3 separate regions of the Mus musculus genome follow, and regions 1 and 3 are each reported to be linked to region 2. Evidence: microRNA targets listed by miRTarBase, many of them from high-throughput screens and not tested one by one. Region 2 holds a microRNA gene; each other region holds the end of a gene's coding sequence.

Region 1 (7,116 bases), not on the chromosome of region 2:
AAGCGCAAAGCTGGTACCACACACTACGCAACAAGGTTGGTCCCCAAAGGGCTAAGCCAACTTAGTTCTACTCCTGATACACAAGAGAGGCCTGGTGGCTTTGGCATCATGTAGGGCTTGTGGTTTAAAGACAACCGCCCCACCCCCAAACAGACAGACCTCAGAACTGAGGATCAAAATACTCAGAGAAATTCCAGAAGTTAGAATATCAAATGCCAAAACTCACCTAGGTGAAACTTGGCCATGGAATGACAATCTTCTATGTCTCTACTAAAAGAAGTTTAAAATCTTAAAAACAACAAAACAAAAACAAACCAAAACTTTATAGGAAGGCTGGGTAGACAGAATTGACTAGAGAATATTGAATTTCAAACATTTTTTTTTCCTTAGGTATCAAACTTGAAAAAGGTTCCTGTGTTACTTACTTCATGATTAAAGCTGCATTTTGATTTTTTCAATACTAGGGACCTCATACACACTGTGTATTCCCACCACAACAGGGATGAATCCCAGAGCCAGACTCGATGCACACTTCTTTCCCTGGGGTTTTATTTCCTTTGCGACACCCAGCGCCGGCTAACACCCTATCTATCGGCAACATCACTCACTGCCTGTATTAGACATGTAATTTTCTTTTGAAGGAGTCTGTTTCTACTGCTAAGGACATCTTTCTGGACTCAGAAGGGGGCAGCTGAGACATATTTACGGGCTAAATGGAGACTGTCACTTACAAATAGCTCTTCAATGAAGTGCATGGACATTTCTAACTTTTATTAGAATGTGAAATTCTTTTAACTCTGTTTAATTTTTGTTTAGAAAAGGCTGGATTTAGTGATGAGTTCACCATGCTCTTGAGTTTCCTAACTCAAGAGAGTCAAGTACTCCTCCCTCTCCGCTCTTATCTGGGCCTCCTTTATCCAGGAATCCTGGGGTTCCACACCAAAAACTTCTAAAAGCTCTTTATTGGAATACCCAGTAAGCTTCAAACTAGGTAGGGTGTGGTGACTGATCTCTGGTTCAAGCACTTAACCAAAGCTTCAGTTTTCAGTTATTCTCTATGTTAATGAGCAAGCACTGGAAACCTACAGGTGCTCAGGGAGTTCTACAACAGAGCATCTATAACCGAAGGGAAACGCCCTTTCCCAAACCCTCTCCTCCTCACACAATCCCTATCTTTACAATTTCAACAAATAGAACCAATGATTGTAGAAAATTCTTTTTAACATCAAGTCACAGTAACCAAGTCACTTTCTACCCTTCAGTGACGGTTGCTTTACAAATTAACATAGTTCATACTTCAACAATTTTCAAATTTATCCTAAAGCCCCATCTTCCTTATGTGAGGTATTCATTAATATTGTACCGATAGAAGGCCCCTGTCTGTAAATGGTAATTTTACTGTACCATTTTACTTTCTTTTCTAATCAACTAATCAATCTTAATGTTTAAATTTTGAATCTTTCATTGTTCCAGCATTAAGATATAAAGAAAAAAAAAAGGGGGGGGGCAGGGCTAGAAAGCTAGCTGAATTGGAAGAGTGTCTGCCTCCCTTGCAAGCACAAGGTCATCAGTTAAGATTCCAGAATCCATGTAAAACAGAGCAGCTGGGCGTGGTGGTACAAGCTAGGCAACCCAGCAGCAAGCAGCAGACAGGATCTCCTGAGGCTCACTGCCAGCAGGTCTAGCTGAATTTGTGACCCTGTCTCAAAGCAGGTGGGTGCCAAGGTTGAACACTGGTTTCTACATGCTCATTCTCACATTCACCCACAAAGAGGCTTTAGAAAGAAGCTTGGTACTTCAAAAAGCCACCAAGGTAAACATAAGGGAACAAGATTTAGTGCAGAGCCTATTTTGATGTTGGGAATAGAAAGACTATATCATATCCCCGCCCTCAACCCCAAGAATATTTGGCATAAATAAATGGCTTCTCTTGAGAGATTGACGATTTTAGTTTCTCAAACAGGCGTATGCTTAACTGAAAGCGATTCCTGTACGTACATGTTCTCCAGGATCTTCACATGAAGTACTGACCAGAATAACTGTTTAGTCAGATTCTTTAAAATACAACAAGTTTTGATTAAAAAAAAAAAAAAAAAGGAACTGAACTTATAAAACAGTAAATGCCTCTCACCAAAGAGTCACAGAGCTCTGGGGAGATGATCAGATACCAATTGTATTAAAAACAAAAATGCCGTCACCAGAACAGGTTGAGTCTGGAAGTGAAAACTATTCTGCCTTTGGAAGTGGGCTTTCTAGTGTGATAAAGGGACAGACACCCCCCTACACTCTGCTTTTTATGTTCATCTTGAGTTCCTTTATGCTCCGCGTTTTTATGCTTACGACCCATAGGATTTTACTGATTTGTTTTAGACACGGTTTCTCTATGCATCCCAGCCTGACATCAGATCCACAATCCTCCTGTTTCTGTCTCCAGGATGCTGGATTACAGATACGCCCATAGGATTAAAGACCGTGGTAAAGGGCTTAAGTAATTCTCATGGCGACAAGAAATCAAACAGTTCCTGCAGCCCTGCCTGGCAAGCCCTGAATCGTACAAACATGAATTCTTCACAGCCTCACTGCAAAGATGGGCAAAAGTTAAGAGACAGTAATTTTAGCTAAGCAAATGGAAAAGCTTAGGACTTGCTACTTAATTCATTTTCGAATTTAAGTGACTTTAATTTGTAGATAAAGCAGGAGTGTAAGTTGGAACCAAAAGAAAAATCAGCTGGCTGTCTTCACAACAGTGAGCAACACAAGGTGGTTGCAAATGCAAATTAATGCCAGGAACAGGAAGCACAAAGAGGACGGAGGAGCTTGGGAGAGATGCCGAGGTCTGATAAAGGGGGAAAGACACACACACACACACACACACACACACACACACACACACACACACACACACACACACACACAGAGACACACAGACACAGACACACACACACACACACACACACAGACACACAGACACACACACACACACACACACACAGACAGAGTTGTACTTCTAATGAGGAAATTACAAGTTTGGAAAATGGAACTTTGTAATAGATAAAGGTGCTGAGACATATATATAAGTATATATAAAAAGCCAACATAAAGAGATCACTGTAGAGGGTACAGACTGCTACATTTAAAGTTAATTACTTGGCAATATCCTTTAATATGCAAATTACATAAAGAAAAAAAATGAACCGTGTAAATGAAGTGAAATATATATATGACTGTGTTATAGGACAAAAGAATGGAGTAAAACACTTTTCACCACATTGACTACAAGCTGTGCTGGGAGCATGTAAGACAGAAGAGGCACACAGCGCTTACTGCAAAACAAAAGGTAGAAAGATCATTACATATTCCCTTCGTGTTTTCCACTACGCCAGACGTGGATGAAATCTTTAAAGAACAGTGACATGATGTTTAAACTGTAAACAGTGAAACCCTGGGCTTCCTAAGGTGCTGATTTCACACCCAGTATCACTTGGTTTGGAATTAACACATCATTGCAGAAGACCATCTAAGTGTCACAAACAAGAAACATGCACATACTGCAATTTTATTTCAATCGCACAAATGAAGTTAGTGTGTAGGAGAGTTAACTGGAACAGCTATGGTGGTAACAGCAGAGAACTGAAAACCTAGACAGGAAACACGCCTGCGGCATGAGGACCGGACATTCATCAGCGGTTCATCTTCAGTTCTGATTGACACGTTTTGAACAGACTTTGAGATCACGGTTACTATTCTCAAGAGATTTCAGCACCACGCTAAGGTTTGTACATTCAGATTGTTTGCTATGGACGTGCTAGCCATTCAGAGTGTATTGTAGAGTTGTCGCAGGTCAGATCACAGTGTTGAGGAGAGCAGAGCCTTCCTGTCATCACAGACGATCCCTAAACTGGACTCAGCTGAAGACAGTCAACACACAGAAGCAAGGACCCACCGTCACAATATGGTTCCAAGGAACAGTTTTGGGAAAACAACTCAAGCTTTAGCTTGCGATTGTAGTCACTGAAATCTCTAGCGACGACACGACTGTCCTGGGTGACAGTGAAGCATCCAGGTAGGAGCACATTTAGTCATGTGGGAGGACGTACTATCATGGAGGATACAGATACAGCATGAGCCAATGTCGGTTCTTTTTTTTTCTTTTTTTGTCATTTTTACAGACATTGTGTTAAATATTAGACCAAGGCACAAAACGTTTAGTGCATAAACCAGCTTTGTTTAGGACTTAGCATTTGACTTCAGCATTTTTGTCTCACTTTGGACCATCTAGACCCAGTACTCTACGTACTACAGACTATTTAACATTAGCAACAAAATGAAAAGCGATTTTTGATCAGATCTGTAAGGGATGTACACACGTACACAATCAAAGTAGTTGCGTAATCAAACGTTCAACAGTAAATGAGATGCATACTTCTTTTAGAACAGCGTACATGCTTGCCGCATCCTTAATGCCTTTACTATTCCTGCGAGACGACGACTGATGGGTAGAGAAAGCCACAGAATTGACTTATGACCGCTCATCCCTCACACTTTAATCTAAAGATGAAGTTTCTACAGAAACAAACACTCTTAACAAAACCCCTCATTCACACGGCTCTGCAGTGGGGTTAGCTGCAAACTGCAGGGTTTAGAAAACTACTCTCATCAAGCTTTGCTTTACAGCTGAGACATAGGAAATCTAGAAAGCAAATCAAAGTGGATTGTATCTACTATTTTTTTAGCAAAAGTTTTGATAGCCAAAGATTCCAAAGCAAATATGGCACATTAATAACTCAAGCATAAATCATGATGGACAGCCTGGAGAATTTTTGATTTCCTAGATTTTCCAAAAAGCTAACATTACAACATATAAAATTTTCTCCCTTATTTTAATCTTGCCAATTATAAAGGGGTGGAACATAATATCTATCACACACTCTTAAGCTCGATCACTTTCTCTCTCTCTCTCACCTGTGTGCGTGTGTGTGTGTGTGCGCGCGCGCGCGCGCACACACACACACACACACACACACACACTCAGGGTGTAACAGCAGACACTCCCTACCACTTAAGCCTCACTTTAGTTCTATTAAAAGAAAGCTGCAGAACTCCTCATTGGTCTCCCTTACCTAGTGACTTATGTGACCCTGGTTGCTGCCATTATTGATATTTCTTGTATTTTAGCACAGCAAAGGTCAAGGAGCAGCCGCAGAGTCAGGAGCGTGAACCCAAGCACTGCAGCACTGTGGGGGCCGCGTGAAAATAACTGCCAAATTCAGTGATCAAACTCGTGAGTTCCACAGTGAGACGGACTCACATGTTACGCTCAGAATCATGTTTCAGACCGTTGAAATTGCTGGTTAAAATACAAATAGCTGAAGACATGATGTAAAAGATTAAGTACTTGGTTTTGTTAACATGTTTACTGATTAAAGTCACAAAATATTTTTCATTATAATTCATGCAGATAATTGAGAAAAAAAAGATAGTGCAGAAATTAACTTTAAATAAAAAGTTATTCCTTCCCTTCCTCCCACTTCCCTATATTCTACAAAATATTTTCCCTGGGACTAGGCCCTGAAAAGGCCACTACATATTAGTGTGACATGCATTATTGTCTGTAATTAAAAAAGCTAACTTTGTGGTGATTGTAATTACATTATAAAAATGTCCACATGCATATGTCTAAAAAAGGTTGAAAACCTACAGTAAATCTATAATAGAATGTTTTCCATTTGACCACTGTTGGTTATGTAGAAGTCATAGATTTGGTAAAGCATTGTAACAATTTAGGAAGGCATCTAAATCTTTAATTTCTGGACGGACTTTATGTTTTAAACTACAAAATTGCATGAAGGCTAACCCGAGAGACTTCCTATCATTCTAAAATTCCTCAAGTGGGACTAAACATTTTGGGACCTTTCGTATTAAACACCACCCTCTGAAAGCACATACAACTCCGTTTGTTCCATCCTTTATGATCTTAGTGTTCACGGAATATCAAATATGATAGGAAGACAAACCTGAGAGAAACATTTACAACGCAACAGCAGAACTTACTAAATCAAATTCTTCATCAGCGCCCTCTGGAAAAAAATCTCTGAAGCCTTTCTCGTCTTTATTTTAGCAATGGATTATGGAAAACGTGCAGACTCATCTAGACATGAAAATATTTCAATGCACGGTGATCTTGCCTGACGGGTTTAGTACTGCTAAGGGAACTCCAATATCATTCTCCATCCTGTGGTAAAGGTCAGACAGAATAAAGCAGCACACTGAGGGGACAGCTGATCGCCAGAGTCACTGTCTGAGGCTTTCAGAGGTTGACGGCTTCCCTCCTGACTGTGTATCCATTTTCTTCTTACAGCTTAAAAGTTTGGGGGTTAAGAGTTGTTTGTAGGAATTTTTGTTTTCTCCAGATTCAAGTCCTGCCCCTCCGTAGTTTGCTTCTTTATGCAGTGTTCGACTTGCTCAGCTCCTGCCTGATTGCTACAACAGGGAAGAAACGGTTTCCAGAGTCAATCCACCAGAGGAGATACAGAGGAACGGGTCGCTCCTGAACAACTTTCAAGGTTCTGTTCTAACTGTTTCATACAAAGATACAGGATCTACATCTTCACTGCACAGATGTTTAATTTATAAAGATACTAATCACACACGACTATGTCCACTTACTCCCTCCCTTGTAGATTTAAGACAGGAACACTGGTTCTGTGGGCTCAAAAACAAGGGCAGTTCAATGGAAATGGACGAGTGGAGAGAAAAATCTGCCTGATTGGTATTATTACACCAAATTCTACACTTGACACTTAGAAATCTGTTTATTTTCATTTTTACAAATAACTCCAATGATAAAAATACAGCAGCTTTCCAACAACCTGAGCAAAGGCTAGCAACCCTCCCCCCCCCCCCCCCCCCCCCGAGTGTGAAGTCAGTCTCACAGCTGTCTACAGGGACGTGCATGCGCCAGGTACTCACCGTCAATAAGCTCCTCCTTCAGCTTTGCCAGCTCTTTTCTCATCTCATCTAAAATGTCCTGAGGTATCAAGAGAAAACACCAGGGAACAAAGCAAAACCAACAAAAATGAAGGGATGTCTAAGAGGTTTCTTGTTCAGGTAAGTTAG
Region 2 (7,121 bases):
GAAATCTTAAATACATATTACTGAATAAAATAATTTAGTCTGAAAAGTCTTTATACTGTATAATTCCAACTAATACAATATGCTTGAAAACTAAAACTGTGGTGACAATAAAAATTTTCATAATTGCAGGATTTGGGGGGAAGGAATAAATACTGCACAGGGAAATTTTAGGACAGCGAAGTCATACGAAAGTGGGTCCATGGCATATGTCAAAGCTGTTAGATTGAGTGAACATTAAACTGTAGAACTTAGGGGTATGTGTACTTCAGAGGATGGCCTTACGAATTGAACTTAGAGTAGGTTTTTTTTTAGCATTATATGAAATTGGGAGGGGATGGGCTGGTGGATCTGGAAGGCTTTAGGGGAACAAGTGGGAATGAATATGATCAAAATACATTGTGTAGATATATGAAATTCTTAAAGAATTACAAATGGTTTATTTATTTATTTATTTATTTACACTCCAGATTTTATTCCCCCTCCCAGAATATGATCAAAATACATTGTGTAGATATATGAAATTCTTAAAGAATTACAAATGGTTTTATTTATTTACTTACTTACACTCCAGATTTTATTCCCCCTCCTGGTCCACCCTCTGACTTCTCCACATCCCATACCTCCTCCCCACCACACCCCGTCTCCACGTGGATGTCCCCACCCACTACCCCACCAGACCTCTAAACTCCCTAGGACCTCCAGTCTCTTGAGGGTTAGGTGCATCATCTCTGACTAGACCCAGACCTCTGCTTTATATGTGTTGGGGGCCTCATATCAGCTGGTGTATGCTGCCTGGTTGTTGGCTAAGTGTCTGAGAGATCTCAGGGGTCCAGGTTAATTGAGACTGCTGGTCCTCCTACAAGGTTGCCACAAAAATCCCTGACATAGTAGTGCATGCCTTTAATCCCAGCACTTGAGAGGCAGACATGGGCAGATCTCTATGAGTCCCAGGACAGTCAGGGCTACATAGGGAAATTCTGTCTTAAAAAATGAATAACTAAATAAGTAAAAGGAGGAATTTAGAGATCTAGAGAGATGGCTCAGAGATTAAGAAGAGAAAACTTGCTGTTGTTGCAAAGAGCTGAAGTTGGGTTCCCAGCACTCACATGAGGCAACTCACGACATGTAACACGTTTCTTCACTATCCCTTAGTTTATTATCTTTTTTGTTTCTTTTTATGTTTCCTTTTTTTCATTTATGTACACTGTATGCATGTATATCTGCATGCAGCTTACATGTGTGAGTGGGGGTACAGGTCCACATGTGTACACATGTATGTGGAGGTCCAAGCTCAATTTGATATTCAATGTTCTTTCACCACAACTCAAGTCAAGGTCTCTGAATCAAATCCAAAGCTAAAAGATATGGCTACCCTCACTAGCCAGCTTGCTCTAGGGATTATGACCACACCCACTAAGTATTTCCATGAATTCTAAGAATCTGAAATCTGGTCCCAGCGTAGCCATCTCTCCACCCCACCTTTGAAATTATTATTGTTGTTATTTGGCAAGTTCATATATAAACATAATGTATTTTGGTAATTTTTACCTCATTTTGTACTGTTTTTTTTTTCTATTTTATTTTCCTTTTTCTGACCAGTTTTCCTTTTTTTCCTTCTATCTCCCTTTTCTTTATACTTCTCTTCCAGGCATCTTTCCCTCTGATTTCTCCTTTTACATAGGCCTGTTATTGTTGCAAACGGACATTGAAACTAAATATTTTAAGTTATTATAATTATGGATTTATTAATAAAATAAACAATTACATTTTGTTTTTAAGTAGCATGACCAAGCTACTTGGAGAGGAAAGGAATTTTTGGCTTATAGCTTGTAGTCAATCATTTAAAAAAGTCAGGGCAGAAACTAAAGCAGAGGCCATGGAGGGGTGTAACTTACTGGCTTGTTCAGCCTGATTTCTTATACAACCCAGAACCACTTGCCTAGGGATAGCACCAACAACCATGTCCTGGGCCCTCTTATATCAGTCATTAGTCAAGAAAATGCCCCCACAGACTTGCCTAAAGGCCATATTAAAGGAGGCATTTTCTTGATCGAGGTTCCCAGCATATCATATAATTGAAGCTTCTGTGCTGGAAGAAGATGTATTCGAAGAAAGTAAACAAAAATATATTGTGAAAGAAATTATAGTAACTTGTCCTAAATGTTCGCCTTGCTCTTTATTACAGTTATATAAATGTATACAGGGCTGGAGAGATGGTTCAGAGGTTAAGAGCACTGACTGCTTTTCCAGAGGTCCTGAGTTCAGTTCCCAGCAACCACATGGTGGCTCACAGCCATCTATAGTGAGATCCGATGCCTTCTTCTGGTGCGTCTAAATAAATAAATAAATAAATAAATAAATAATCTTTTAAAAAAGATGTGTACAAGACTGCCTTAATAAGCAACCTTTGGCCGGGCGGTGGTGGCGCACGCCTTTAATCCCAGCACTTGGGAGGCAGAGGCAGGCGGATTTCTGAGTTTGAGGCCAGCCTGGTCTACAAAGTGAGCTCCAGGACAGCCAGGGCTACACAGAGAAACCCTGTCTCGAAAAACCAAAAAAAAAAAACCAAAAAAAAAAAAAAAAAACAACCTTTGAAGAAAAACCCTTTGGTTTCAAGTTCATGAACTCTAGATGAATTGCAGAGTGTCTGTGGTTGTTTGTCACACTTAGAGAACTGCTAAAAGTTCTGACTGAGGGAAACTGTTGGGTTTAAGCGTTACTAAGTTTAATGTGTTAGTAATAACCTTATGTTTCTTAGAATTCTGGCTTTCCTCCTCCCCTCCCTTTCCTCTCCTCCCCTTCCTTCCCCTCCCCTCCCCTTCCTTTCCCATCCCTTCCCTTCCAAAATATTATCTCATCACGCAGCCTAGGGCTAGCCTCTAACTCATTGTGTAACCCACTCTATCTTCAACTCACTTCCTCCATTCTGAGTGTTGGAATTACAATAGCACTCCACCATGCCCCTCTGTAGAAGAGCCTCTTTCATTTTCTTGCAGGCTGATAAGATTTGGACATCTCTGCTGAATTTTAGATTTATTTCCTTCTCTAATCTAATCTATAGGCAGCTAGAGTAGACTAGAAAACGTTTGGTGCTTTAAATGTTGTTCAAGGATGACATTTGAAATGTAAATAAAGAAAATATACAATAAAAATATTTAAGATGGTGATCTAGCCCTTTAGTTTTGAGGTTGGTGTACTGTGTGTGAGTATACATATTTATCACACACAGTCACTATCTTCGAAAGTGAGGGTGCACATCTTTCTCAGCCATCTCTTATTAAGCCATTAAAGTAATGCCAACATCTGAAGCTAGCACATTCTGGTTCTAGAAGGTCGAGTTTTTCCTTGGAATAAACTGAGTTTAGCCTGAGCAGAGAAAGACCTTCATTTTTAAAGTTAGTAGTAGTAATAGTAATAGTAGTGTGTGTGTGTGTGTGTGTGTGTGTGTGTGTGTGTGTGTGTGTGTACAGCGGCCAAAGGAGGGCATCAAATGACTTGTGTTATCACTCTCTGCCTTGTTCCTGTTTTAAGGTCTCTCACAGAACCATAGAGTCAGGACGAGAGTCAGAAAACCTGACTGACTGATTCTCCTGTGCCTACCTCACTAGGGTTTCTGGCTTCCTCCCAGCCATGCCTGGCTTTTATTGTATACATGCTGAGAGCCCAAGCTCAGGTTCTCACTCTTATGCAGCACAGAAGAAAATAAGGAAGTTAGGTGACACATCAGCCAAGGTACATTGAGGTTACCTGATGCTTAATGACTCTTTACACAAAACAGAGGAATGCCTACATAAAGACCAGCAGGAACTAGGCAATGTAACAACTGAGACAAAGTCAGCTCTATCTAAGGTCAGCTATAGTCTTAGAAGCCAGGTGTGAGGTCGTTACACTCCTGGGGCAAGGGCTTTCACGCCCAAGCCATAGTTCTAATTCTGATTTATTGTTTAGCCCACCACCACCCAGCTCTTAGTAAATACCTAACTATGCTATTCCCCAGGGCTAGTGAAAGTATGTGCTAGGGAGTTCCGCTCTAGCTAACCTTCTCATGAATAATGCAACACACTAGTTCCTCCTTAAATCACAGCCCGATCTTCTTCCTAAACAATTGTAAATTCCTGTATGTGGGAGTTACTCGCCTGTTATTCTAAGTGATTTTGTGAGGGACTTTCTTCTATTAAGTAATGTAGTCTGACATATATAACTATAATAAGAATTCTAAACTTACTTTGCTAAGCTTGCCCTGAAATTTCTAACTATATGTAGTAGATAGTAACGCCCGATTTCTTTTGCTATCTCTCTTTCAATACTGGAGGCAATTCGTCTGAATAGATAACATTCTTACTAAATTCCAAGCCCAGGGTCAGCTCAAGGACTGCCTAGGACGTTGGTGAAGACCAGGAAGCAAAGTTCAACCTAATTTAGGTATTTGTCAAATCATTCCTTGGAGGCACCTATAATAAAACAATACTGAAAGAAAGCACACAGAACCATTCGCCAACTATTGCAAGGACGAATCTGAAACACATCTGTTTATGGGACACCAGAAACTTTCCAGGAGACAAGTTTCCATAAAACTTTATGCCTCATGACTGTAGCCAAGCTTTTGGGCCTGTCAGGCAGTTTTTACTGGAGTGGGTGTGGCACACTGTAGCTGTCTTCAGACTCACCAGAAGAGGGCATAAGTTCTCATTACAGATATTTGTGAGCCACCATGTGTTTGCTGGGATTTAAACTCAGGACCTTCGGAAGAGCAGTCAGTGCTCTTACCAGCTGAGTATCTCTCCAGCTCCCCATTTTCCTTTCTTAAACCACGCTTATATATTGGCTTTCACTTTGCCCTCATTTCCTAGTGTACTGGCTGGTATTGGGTGTCAACTTGACACAGCTGGAGTTATCACAGAGAAAGGAGCTTCAGTTGAGGAAATGCCTCCACAAAATCCAGCTGTAAGGCATTTTCTCAGTGATCAAGGGGGAAAGGCCCCTTGTGGGTGGGACCATCTCTGGGCTGGTAGTCTTGGTTCTGTAAGAGAGCAGGCTGAGCAAGCCAGGGGAAGCAAGCCAGTAAAGAACATCCCTCCATTGCCTCTGCATCAACTCCTGCGTCCTGACCTGCTTGAGTTCCAGTCCTGACTTCCTTGGTGATGAACAGCAGAATGGAAGTGTAAGCTGAATAAACCCTTTCCTCCCCAACTTGCTTCTTGGTCATGATGTTTGTGCAGGAATAGAAATCCCGATTAAGACACCTAGAGAACACAAAACAGATAGGAGATTTAAAACCATAGAAGTTTCATTCTGCTTCTTAACAAATCATTTCTATAGGATTCCTGGTGGCTGGAAGGCAAATTGAACATTCTACTTTGATCTTGTATTAGTAAAGCAGATGGTTTTGTTAAACAACTCCCTAGGGAAGATTTGGGTCTCTGTTCCAGCTTCTGACATAGCCAAAAAGAATCCCAGAGTGGATAGAGCTGAATTGGCCTTTCAGACATTTTTGTTCAATCCCTTATGGTACATATTGAAAATTCAAGCCTAGAATTGGATATTGTTCAAGGTCACAGTCACATAGTGAATTTCTGGCTTCAAGAGAGATTATTCTTCCCTCCTATGCAAAGGGGGAATCTAACAGATACTGTTTAAGCTATGAACTCTTGTGAGTGTGAATGTTTCATGTATGCCATTATAGTTTAATTTTTAATAATTGGAATAATTCTATATTTATAAAAAATTGCAATGTACAAAAAATCATGATCATTGTCTCTTTTCTCTTATATTGCTGTGGTATAATTTCAAAATAAAACCCCAGATTTTATCAGTTTTCTATGCTAGCATCTAGAAAATCAGGATCAGAGATAACTGAAAATCTTTGATCTTCCTATTTCCTTAGTTTTCTCATCTGTGCCAGTTTTTTAGGTTTACCTGTAAGATGTTTTGTACAATGTCCCTCAATTTGTTGTGAGTTTTGAAAAAAATACTACAGAGATGAAGTGTCATTACTATCAAGGTATATATAAAGTGGTACACAGTATCAGTAGTTAACTTTGATAATATGGTTTGCCATGTTCACACAATAGAAAGTTGAAGTTTTTTTCTTTTCTGTTCTCTATGCTTCAGAAATTCACTCACACCTAAGTTCAACCTCCTTGAAATAAAGAATACTTGTATATATTTACATGTGTAGAAATATAATTCATGTTTTTCTAAGACAATGTCTTACTGTATAGTTGTGACTGTCCTGGAACTCACTACTGTTTGAAACTCACTTTGTAGACCAGGCTGACCTCAAACTCACAGAGATCCACCTGCCTCTGCCTCTTAAGTGCTGGGATTAATAGTGTGCACCGCTTTTGTCTAAAGCAATTTATAAAAAATAAATATAGAATTTGGAGTTCTTTTTAAAGAATATCAACTTTTGTTGACTGCTATTTGATTCCTGTGCATGAAGGTAGAAGTGTTTTGGATGTTAGCTTATCTGTTCTGTTGCTCACAATGTTCTTACTTTGACCGTAAGTGATTCTTTCAGATTAGCTTCTGTAGCCTCTTGACATGCAGCTTGAATTTTATCTTCTTAGATTGATAATTTTCTGGTACTTCAAAATACTCCAAACTCACACCAGCAGTTTCTTTAAGGAATATTAATTGATTGGGGGGGACAATGTATTTGAAAACCAAGATCTGAGCCAATCTTACCAACTATCATTGTTTCTGTACTTTCTCAATGGACAACTTAAGTAATATATAGCTGAACTATTCTATATATACATATGCATCTATAATTGTCTATCAATCTATTTTATGTATATTAAGCTAAATATGACCTCATATCAATACCATGAATGAATCCAGTACTAGTCTTCTATTCCTGTTTACCTATAAATTTCTTCTCTAACAGTGAGAAAACTGTGTTCTAACACCTACTATACATTTGTTTATTTCTTCAATACCAACACATATAAAACAGTTTCAGAATTGACCTATTGTCCCTATGAGAACCAAATGGACAAGAATAATGTTTATGTTCAGTTATTTATCCTTACAATTTTGTGTCAAAACATAATTTTCTCAAGTAAAATCTGCTTTATATCCCTCAGTGCAGTTACATCATTTATGTTTTATATAGTTAA
Region 3 (7,116 bases), not on the chromosome of region 2:
CATTCATGTAAATAAAAAGAAATGTCAAGATCCACATGGCTTAGGACCCAGATCCCTGACTGGGGCGTTGAATGAAAAAGGAACAGACACACAGACAGAAGAATGAAGACAAGACAGACAAACAGACACATGTATAGTGAAGCTGGGATCAAGTGGGATGCTCTAACTGATACCTCCCCAGTCTGGAACCCTCAGAGTGTTCATTAGGTACACCACGGGAGGCTTGGCTAGTTTGGGGAGAAAGTCTCCTTAGGTGAGCAGCCTCAGGCTGTAAACATCCTGGAGCAGGAAGCTGCAGTTGCACACACTGATCAATGTCCATAAACACTCGTGATCAATTGTCCATAAACACCCTACTCCGATTCCCCAGGAAAGCTTTGCCACTCCTCTTGAGCCTGGCCCATATGGGTAACAGCTTTGTCAACTTGGCCTTGGAGTTCTGGACGTGGCTGTGCCCATGAGTCAAAATAGACTCATTTAGGACTCTTCTAGCCCCAGGCAAAGGAGTAATTCAACAAGAGTCAGCAACTAGAAAAGGAAGTCAGGTTGGCATGAAGACTGCTGAAGGCCTTAAGAGGCTTTCCCTGTAATGGCCACCCCTGATGGAACAGAGCACTTAACTCCAAACTGTATTACAAGGTGGGCATGGTGCCACTCAGGAGTCTATGCAGGAGAACTGAGAACTCAGGGACAGGCTGGACTACATAGGGAAGCCCCGACTCTCAAGTACAGCAACTTCTGTTACAAAGGCAAGGTTCATGTGAACTCCATAAAGGCCTCATCCTTTTCAGGAAGGGGGCTTTTCCAGACAGGGTCTTGTAGGCTCTCATGCCCTTTAACTCAGTAATTTTCTTGCCTTAACCTCCCAAGAAGCCACAAATATCAAAAGAACAGTATTTTTTTTCCCAGTACTAGGAATTGAATCTAGCACCTCATGCTGAGCAAATGATCCACCAGCGTGCTATCCTCACCCCAAGTTAAACAGTCTTTTTTTTTAATTCTCATAACAGACCTGGTAAAGAAAATTGGCAATTGCCAGCCATGAAGCCCAGATGTCTTTGAATATGAAAGCTATGCTCCGATGGCAGCTGGACACCTACCAGTTTAAAACATGTTTGTTAAAACAATCCACAGGAAAAAGCCAAGGCTTAAAAGAACACAAAACAAGGACAAATAATGACTGGGCTGAGGAGAGATTGGGGAAGTCCTAGATGACTCAGCCCGGTGTACCCTGCTATATATAGTAGGCCTCCTCCAACATATCCCAGGAGGAGAAGCAACTGCCACGGACGGGAATCATAGTAAGAGATTCTGACCTCAGGAGATAGGAAATGCTTCAGTCACTGCCCTAGTGTGCTTACTATTGCTGTGATAAACACTGTGACCAAAAGCCACCTAAGGAGGAAAGGGTTTACTATACTGTTAAAGAAACACAAGCGCACGCATGCGCGCGCGCGCACACACACACACACACACACACACACACACACACACCACACACACACACACACACACACACACCACACACACACACCACACACACACACACACACACCACACACACACACACACACACACACACACACACACCACACACACCACACACACCACACACACACACACACACACACACACACACACACACACACACACTGATTAAGTAGAAACCACACCCAAACACCTGTTTTCACAGAGAAACCCTCTATTAATCGAGGAAGAAAAGTTAATGTCGCTGCTTTCTACCCCAGGCAGAAAAACAGCAACAAACGACCTTGCAGGTGTAGTTTTTAAGAAGAGAAAAAGGGGAGGTCTGCGTTCGAATGGGCTAGGATTCAGTGGTGTATCTTGATTGGGCATGTCAATTAGGTGAGCCAAAGAGGGGCTTTTGATTGCTGGACTCCAATACTTTGACAGCTGGGCTTTGCTCGGCAGTCTCAGGAGGAGGAAGTGACCAAATAAAGGCATATACCTTGGTGACTAGCTTTAGGGATGTAATCTAACAGCTTTTAGCAAGGCAGAGGTGATGCAAAAGAAGGTCAAGGTCTGCCAGAGCCATGTTTGCCAGGCCCAAGCTGGCTAGAGTACCTTCAATTATAGCTTGCAGGTCACCATATTAAACAACCCAGGACTAATTACCCAGAGGTGACATTGCCCACGCTAAGATAGGTCCTCCCACATCAATCATTAATCAAGAAAGTGACCCCACTGACCTGCCTGGAGGTCAATCTCAATTAAGGTTCTCTCTTTCCAGAAGATTCTACCTGGGTCAGGTTGACAGAAAACTAACCACTGCTGTCAGTTACGTTGTCTAAAAAGAGAGTTGATGGGAGGAAGATAGTGAGCTCCTGGACTCCGGGCTTTCTCAAACACAGACCAGATAAAAATAGACAAGACTGAGCAAGACACTCTAGTGGACACAATGACCTTGAGGGGTCTTCAGGACTGGGGTTATGAGTCCTCTACTTACAAGAAAGAAAAGCCCAAAGGATTTCCTGTATTTACTCAGGGGAGAAATTCCTCACCATGAGCGCATGTATTCTTTATTGCTGTAGAAGAAATATCCCATCAGAAAACAGGCTCGGTCACCTTACTTATTATCTTTATATGCTCTATGATCTGTCTGACGTCTCTCGTAGGCTCTGTGGCAAGATGAAAAATGTTCTCTCTGGCTTACTCGGCAGTTAGATTGCTTAAGGACATTAATGAATCTAGCAGTAGAGTTCACCAATCTTTCTTGAACTTCGCTATTTCAGCTGAATCATGCTGCATCAGCAAATACATCTCCATTTCTGGCCTAAAGATCTGAGAGCCAACCTCTGAAATTTAGTGGTCCATCGGTGTGTGTCCACCTGCTTACAGCAGCTGTGTCTGTCTGTGCTGCACTGTGGGGCAGCTGGTGCTCGGCCTGTGCCTCTCTGCCTTTGCATCTATAACCTCATTAGCAATTACTGTAACTGTGACAATTGAGAACATAATGTAACCAAGTGGCCTATTAAGAAACAGAGCTAATTTTGTTTTCATTTGATTCAATTATTTGCTACTGTAGACCAATTAGGAAAAAATGAAAACTAACATTCTACCTTCTTGGAAGTTCGCCAAGTCTTTGGGTTTCTAGAAATTTCTGGAAATTAAGAACCTAGACCTTTTGGGTACAAAATATTCTTCTAAGGCCTTCCTTTTGTTTTGAGTTAAAAGAGAGAAGTCAGGTGGATTCCTAGGGATTTGAAAAGTCGAGGCTTTATTTTTCCTGTCCCTGTGAGTGGCAGATTTCTGAAAGTAAAGGCAGCAACCTGGTGTGGTGTGGTGTGGTGTGGTGTGGTGTGGTGTGGTGTGGTGTGGTGTGAATGCTAAGGTTTGGGAGCCTGCAGGAGGAGCCTCCAATTTCCCCCTGTGCCCCAGACCAACAAAGTCAAGTGAATCAACTGTTCCCTTTCTGGAAAGTCAAACCAAGCTGACAGAGTTGTGGAATGTTGGATGAAGCAGCAGCTAGGACACTGGTACCCCAATAGTGACACCATGTGGTCAGAAGGAGCACCAGCAGCACAAAAACAATGAGTGGAACTTCCTCCAGTGCAGTTGTCAGTCTGGCAGAGTGGGGTGAGGTAGCAACCACAACCACGACCAGGTCATAGAGCATTGAGGACTGAGCAAGTAGTGCTCTGGACCCTGAAACAGGTGTGCCTTGCTGAGTTTTCTAGGAGATGAGATTTAGATCACGTAGCTCAACACGACAACATAGTTTCAGTACAATGAGAGCTCTTGGGGCTGGACCCTGAGCCCACATGCTTGTGTTTTCATGCAGTTCATAAGCATAGCTTGAAGGGAATTTCTGTATAAAACATTTGGTGCAACAGCATTCCCATAGTGACCTGTCACATGAGGTGAGGTGTGATCTCCCACTTGTGACATCATTTCAGTGCTCGGAGTTTTTAACCAGAGACCGTCTTGCGTGAGGACACCCAGCAAGAGACAGAAGGAACCAACTCACAAGAGGTCTTCAGGGACAGTGGGAAGCTTTAGCTCTATTGTGAAGGTGATAAGAGACAATAAGGGGGTGAATCGGGAGACTGGCAGGATATGGCAGGCAGTCTAACCCTGGTCCCGTGAAAGACTGCCTAAAAGGGCTACAGATAAGAATGTGAACGGGGAGTCAAGTCCATGATCATTGCTTCCTTGTGTGAGGGAGCGACAGAATCGTTTATCCAACCAGAAAGCTTAACTTTAATTCTGAATCATACTCAGCAGGGCCTGCCACATAGTAGGCACTCAATAGATGACTGTTGGTTTTGAATGGAGCTTATTCAAAAGCTATAAAAGAATATAGGAGCTGGAGAGATGGTTCAGCAGTTAAGGACATCCATTGCTCTTGCAGAGGACCTGGGTTCAGTTCCTAGCTCACAACTATCTGTCACTCAGTTCCAGAAGTCCCAGTGCTCTCTTCTGGCTTCTGTGGGCATTAGGCATACATGTGGTGCACATACATACATGCAGGCAGAACACAGAAAATAAACCTAAAAAGAATGTTTTAAATTAGAAAATAAAGGGCCAAGGATGGCCCCAGGGGTAGGAATGTGTGTGTGCATAAACCTGGTGATCCGAGTTCAGTTCCCACAGCGGGAAAAGAGAGCAACCAGGAAAAGTTGTCCTATAACCTCCACACATATGCAGAGATACAATGCTTCTGTTTGTTTGTTTAATATGATAAAAAACAAACTTCCAGAGTCACTGGGCAACTTCTGTCCCTTAAGTGACATAAGAGAGCAGGTTGTCTCCCAATCACATGCACGTCTTCTGTGTGTGCCATCTGGCCCAGAAGTACCCACTGGTGTCTCAGCCATTCCTCAGATCTAGTCACAGCACCCATAGCAGCTCCACCAGATGTGTGGGCCAGCTGCTATCTGTACACCCGTAGTAAGACATCATGAGCAACCAGCTGTGCTTCTGCCCTACCTGGCCAAGGAGTGAGAAGCTTGGCCGACTTCAAGCAGCTGGGCTTACACGCAGACCCCTTTCCTAAGAAGGTAGTAGCTAATCCATCACACACACACACACACACACACACACACACACACCGTGCCCACTGGTATTTATGATGACTGCGCTTGTGCTGGATATGGGAGTGCCCACATAAATGGTGGTGAACATCAAACATTCCAGAATATTTGAAAGTCCATGAGACTGACATGACATGTCCCCTCAACGGGGAATTAACACTGCAGTTTCTCTATTATGCATCAAGTGGGAAATTAATTCTGCATGCTATACTAACTACTGAGAAGATTGGTTTTTAAATTTTTAAAATGGGTGCCGGCTTTTGGCCTGAAATGAGGCAGATTGTGGCAGCAGGCATAGCATCCATCTGTCTGCTTTCTCCAACTAAGTCTAACCTCCTTCTTTTCTCTGTCTCCCAATAAGACTGACATACTATGGATAAATCAAGGGCATACTCCATTGATTAGATCACAAGCCATTCTAACACACACACACACACATACACACACACAGAAAGCTAGCAAGCTCCCAACAATGAGCCTTCAGGGAACCTTTCAGATTCAAACCCTAACAAGATCTAAAAAACATGGAGGTCCTATTTTTTTTTTATTTTATGCATTGACATGAAGACACAGTCAGTTCGTCACACTCATTGTGAGAGATGCTCGATTCTAGGAGGCCTGGATTCTCTCAACCTATCAGATTACTCATTTGGTTTTGAAAACAATGAGTGCTTTGTGTGCTTTGTTTTGTTTTGTTGGCAGAAGGAAAGTAGACCAAGGGCTGTTTTTGGATTGCTTTCTAAATGCACCCCAACCCAATGGTGTGAGCTGTCTGTGAGTGTCAGACACCAGAAGTAGGAAGAGTGCATTAGCTGACATTAACTAGGGCGTTTTCTTCAAAGAACTGCATACTGCCCCGCCCCAGGCCGGGCCCCAAAGTTGTACTTATGTGTCCCCAAGAGGAATGTATTTAAGCAGTAAGTGGCCAATATTTCTCCGTGCCAATGGAGGACCCAGGATTCGGTGAAAAGTGAGAACGTTTGTCATTCAGCCCATTCCTTCCCCAAGCCATGCGCATTGTCGCTCGCCCTTTCTCATTGAGTCTGGGTTAGAGAAAATTGCTTTTATTGGTGGTGAACCTAAATTAGGCTGAAAGCTCCTCTGTCAGAGGACACAGGGTTCAGACTGGAAAGCCAGGAAGGAAGCTTTGGAGCTGGGCAGTGGATGCAGGATTCTCTCCTTATTTGGATGTAAGTGCTGCACTCTATAAGTACTTATTTTGGGACAAGGCTTAAGCACCGAATGGGACAGGCAGCCCCAGGGATCAGGCTGCGCTCTCTATTTGAAGCACGGGTTTCTCAGGATCTTCCTTGGTAGGTTGAGGAGGTTCTGGCTCCAGGGCAGTCTCGAGCTCGGACTCCATTTCAGGCTGAGCTGCAGGCTGGCCTTCTGATGGGCCTTCAGAGCTCCGGACAGGCCCTACGCGTGGCGGCTTGACTGGTGTGGGCTGTGCTGCTTTACGACTGGAAAGAGCCCTTTTCAGGCTTTGAACTTTCTGTAAACCAGTGCGGCGCAGCCGCTGAGCCCTGGACTCCACTGGCTCCTCTTCAGAACTCTCTCCAACTTCATCCTCTGGCTGATCTGGGCCCAGCACCAACTGGTCCTCCGGACCCAAGAGCTCTGGGACTTTCTGGAAGGCGCGGGCTGGAATTTCAGTCTCCTCCTAAATGTGATGACACAGCTTTTGATTCTCTGATTTGACCCTGGCACTTAGCCAGGACCAGCCTGAAACTCTCTTGCCCGCCCGCCAAGGGAAGCTACTCCACCCTTTGCATCTGCACTAGGAATTGGGGCCAAAATAGAGGAATGGGAAGATGGGGGATGGGGAGGATGGAGGAGCAGAGAGATGAGCAAAGAGGGGGAAAGTGGACCTTGCAAGTTTGCAAAGTGGATGAAACCGTGTAGAGTGTAACAGCTGTATAGGCGCTTGGAGGAGGCAGAGTAACACCTAACAGTTAGTTCCATGTGGGTGCGACTGACCAAATCCGCAGACTGGCCTGAGTTAGGGAGGGCGTGGGTTGGCCAGGCTGGGAGTGAGAAAGGGATAAGGTCGCTGTTGTGA

What was found. The annotated mature microRNA mmu-miR-672-3p reads ACACACAGUCACUAUCUUCGA and lies in region 2 at 3,222-3,242, shown strand. An mRNA with a match to its seed (bases 2 to 7 or 8) in the 3' UTR can be bound and repressed. Matches are read on the target gene's strand: a 7mer-m8 pairs with bases 2 to 8, a 7mer-A1 pairs with bases 2 to 7 and ends in A, and an 8mer does both.
Region 1: miRTarBase lists Enah as a target of mmu-miR-672-3p. Seed matches in the 3' UTR shown: 7mer-A1 at 4,921-4,927, 7mer-m8 at 3,923-3,929, 7mer-m8 at 3,311-3,317, 7mer-m8 at 2,987-2,993, 7mer-m8 at 2,961-2,967, 7mer-m8 at 2,953-2,959 and 3 more.
Region 3: the mRNA of Cavin3 is a reported target of mmu-miR-672-3p. The part of its 3' UTR that is shown has no 7-base or 8-base seed match.

The regions. Positions count from the first base shown.
Region 1 is chr1:181,899,418-181,906,533 of GRCm38, forward strand. Enah (ENAH actin regulator) reads right to left here. Exons shown (of 15, transcript NM_010135.3): 14 at 6,970-7,027; 15 at 1-6,480. The coding sequence ends at 6,443. Among named protein-coding and RNA genes, the nearest start is that of Gm33669, 24 kb to the left of the region's middle.
Region 2 is chrX:104,112,313-104,119,433 of GRCm38, reverse strand. It overlaps Mir672 (microRNA 672), which reads left to right and starts at 3,160; the gene lies at 3,160-3,259. The region is part of intron 1 of Nexmif (neurite extension and migration factor); the gene reads left to right.
Region 3 is chr7:105,474,503-105,481,618 of GRCm38, forward strand. Cavin3 (caveolae associated 3) reads right to left here. Exons shown (of 2, transcript NM_028444.1): 2 at 6,114-6,717. The coding sequence ends at 6,319. Among named protein-coding and RNA genes, the nearest start is that of Cavin3, 4.1 kb to the right of the region's middle.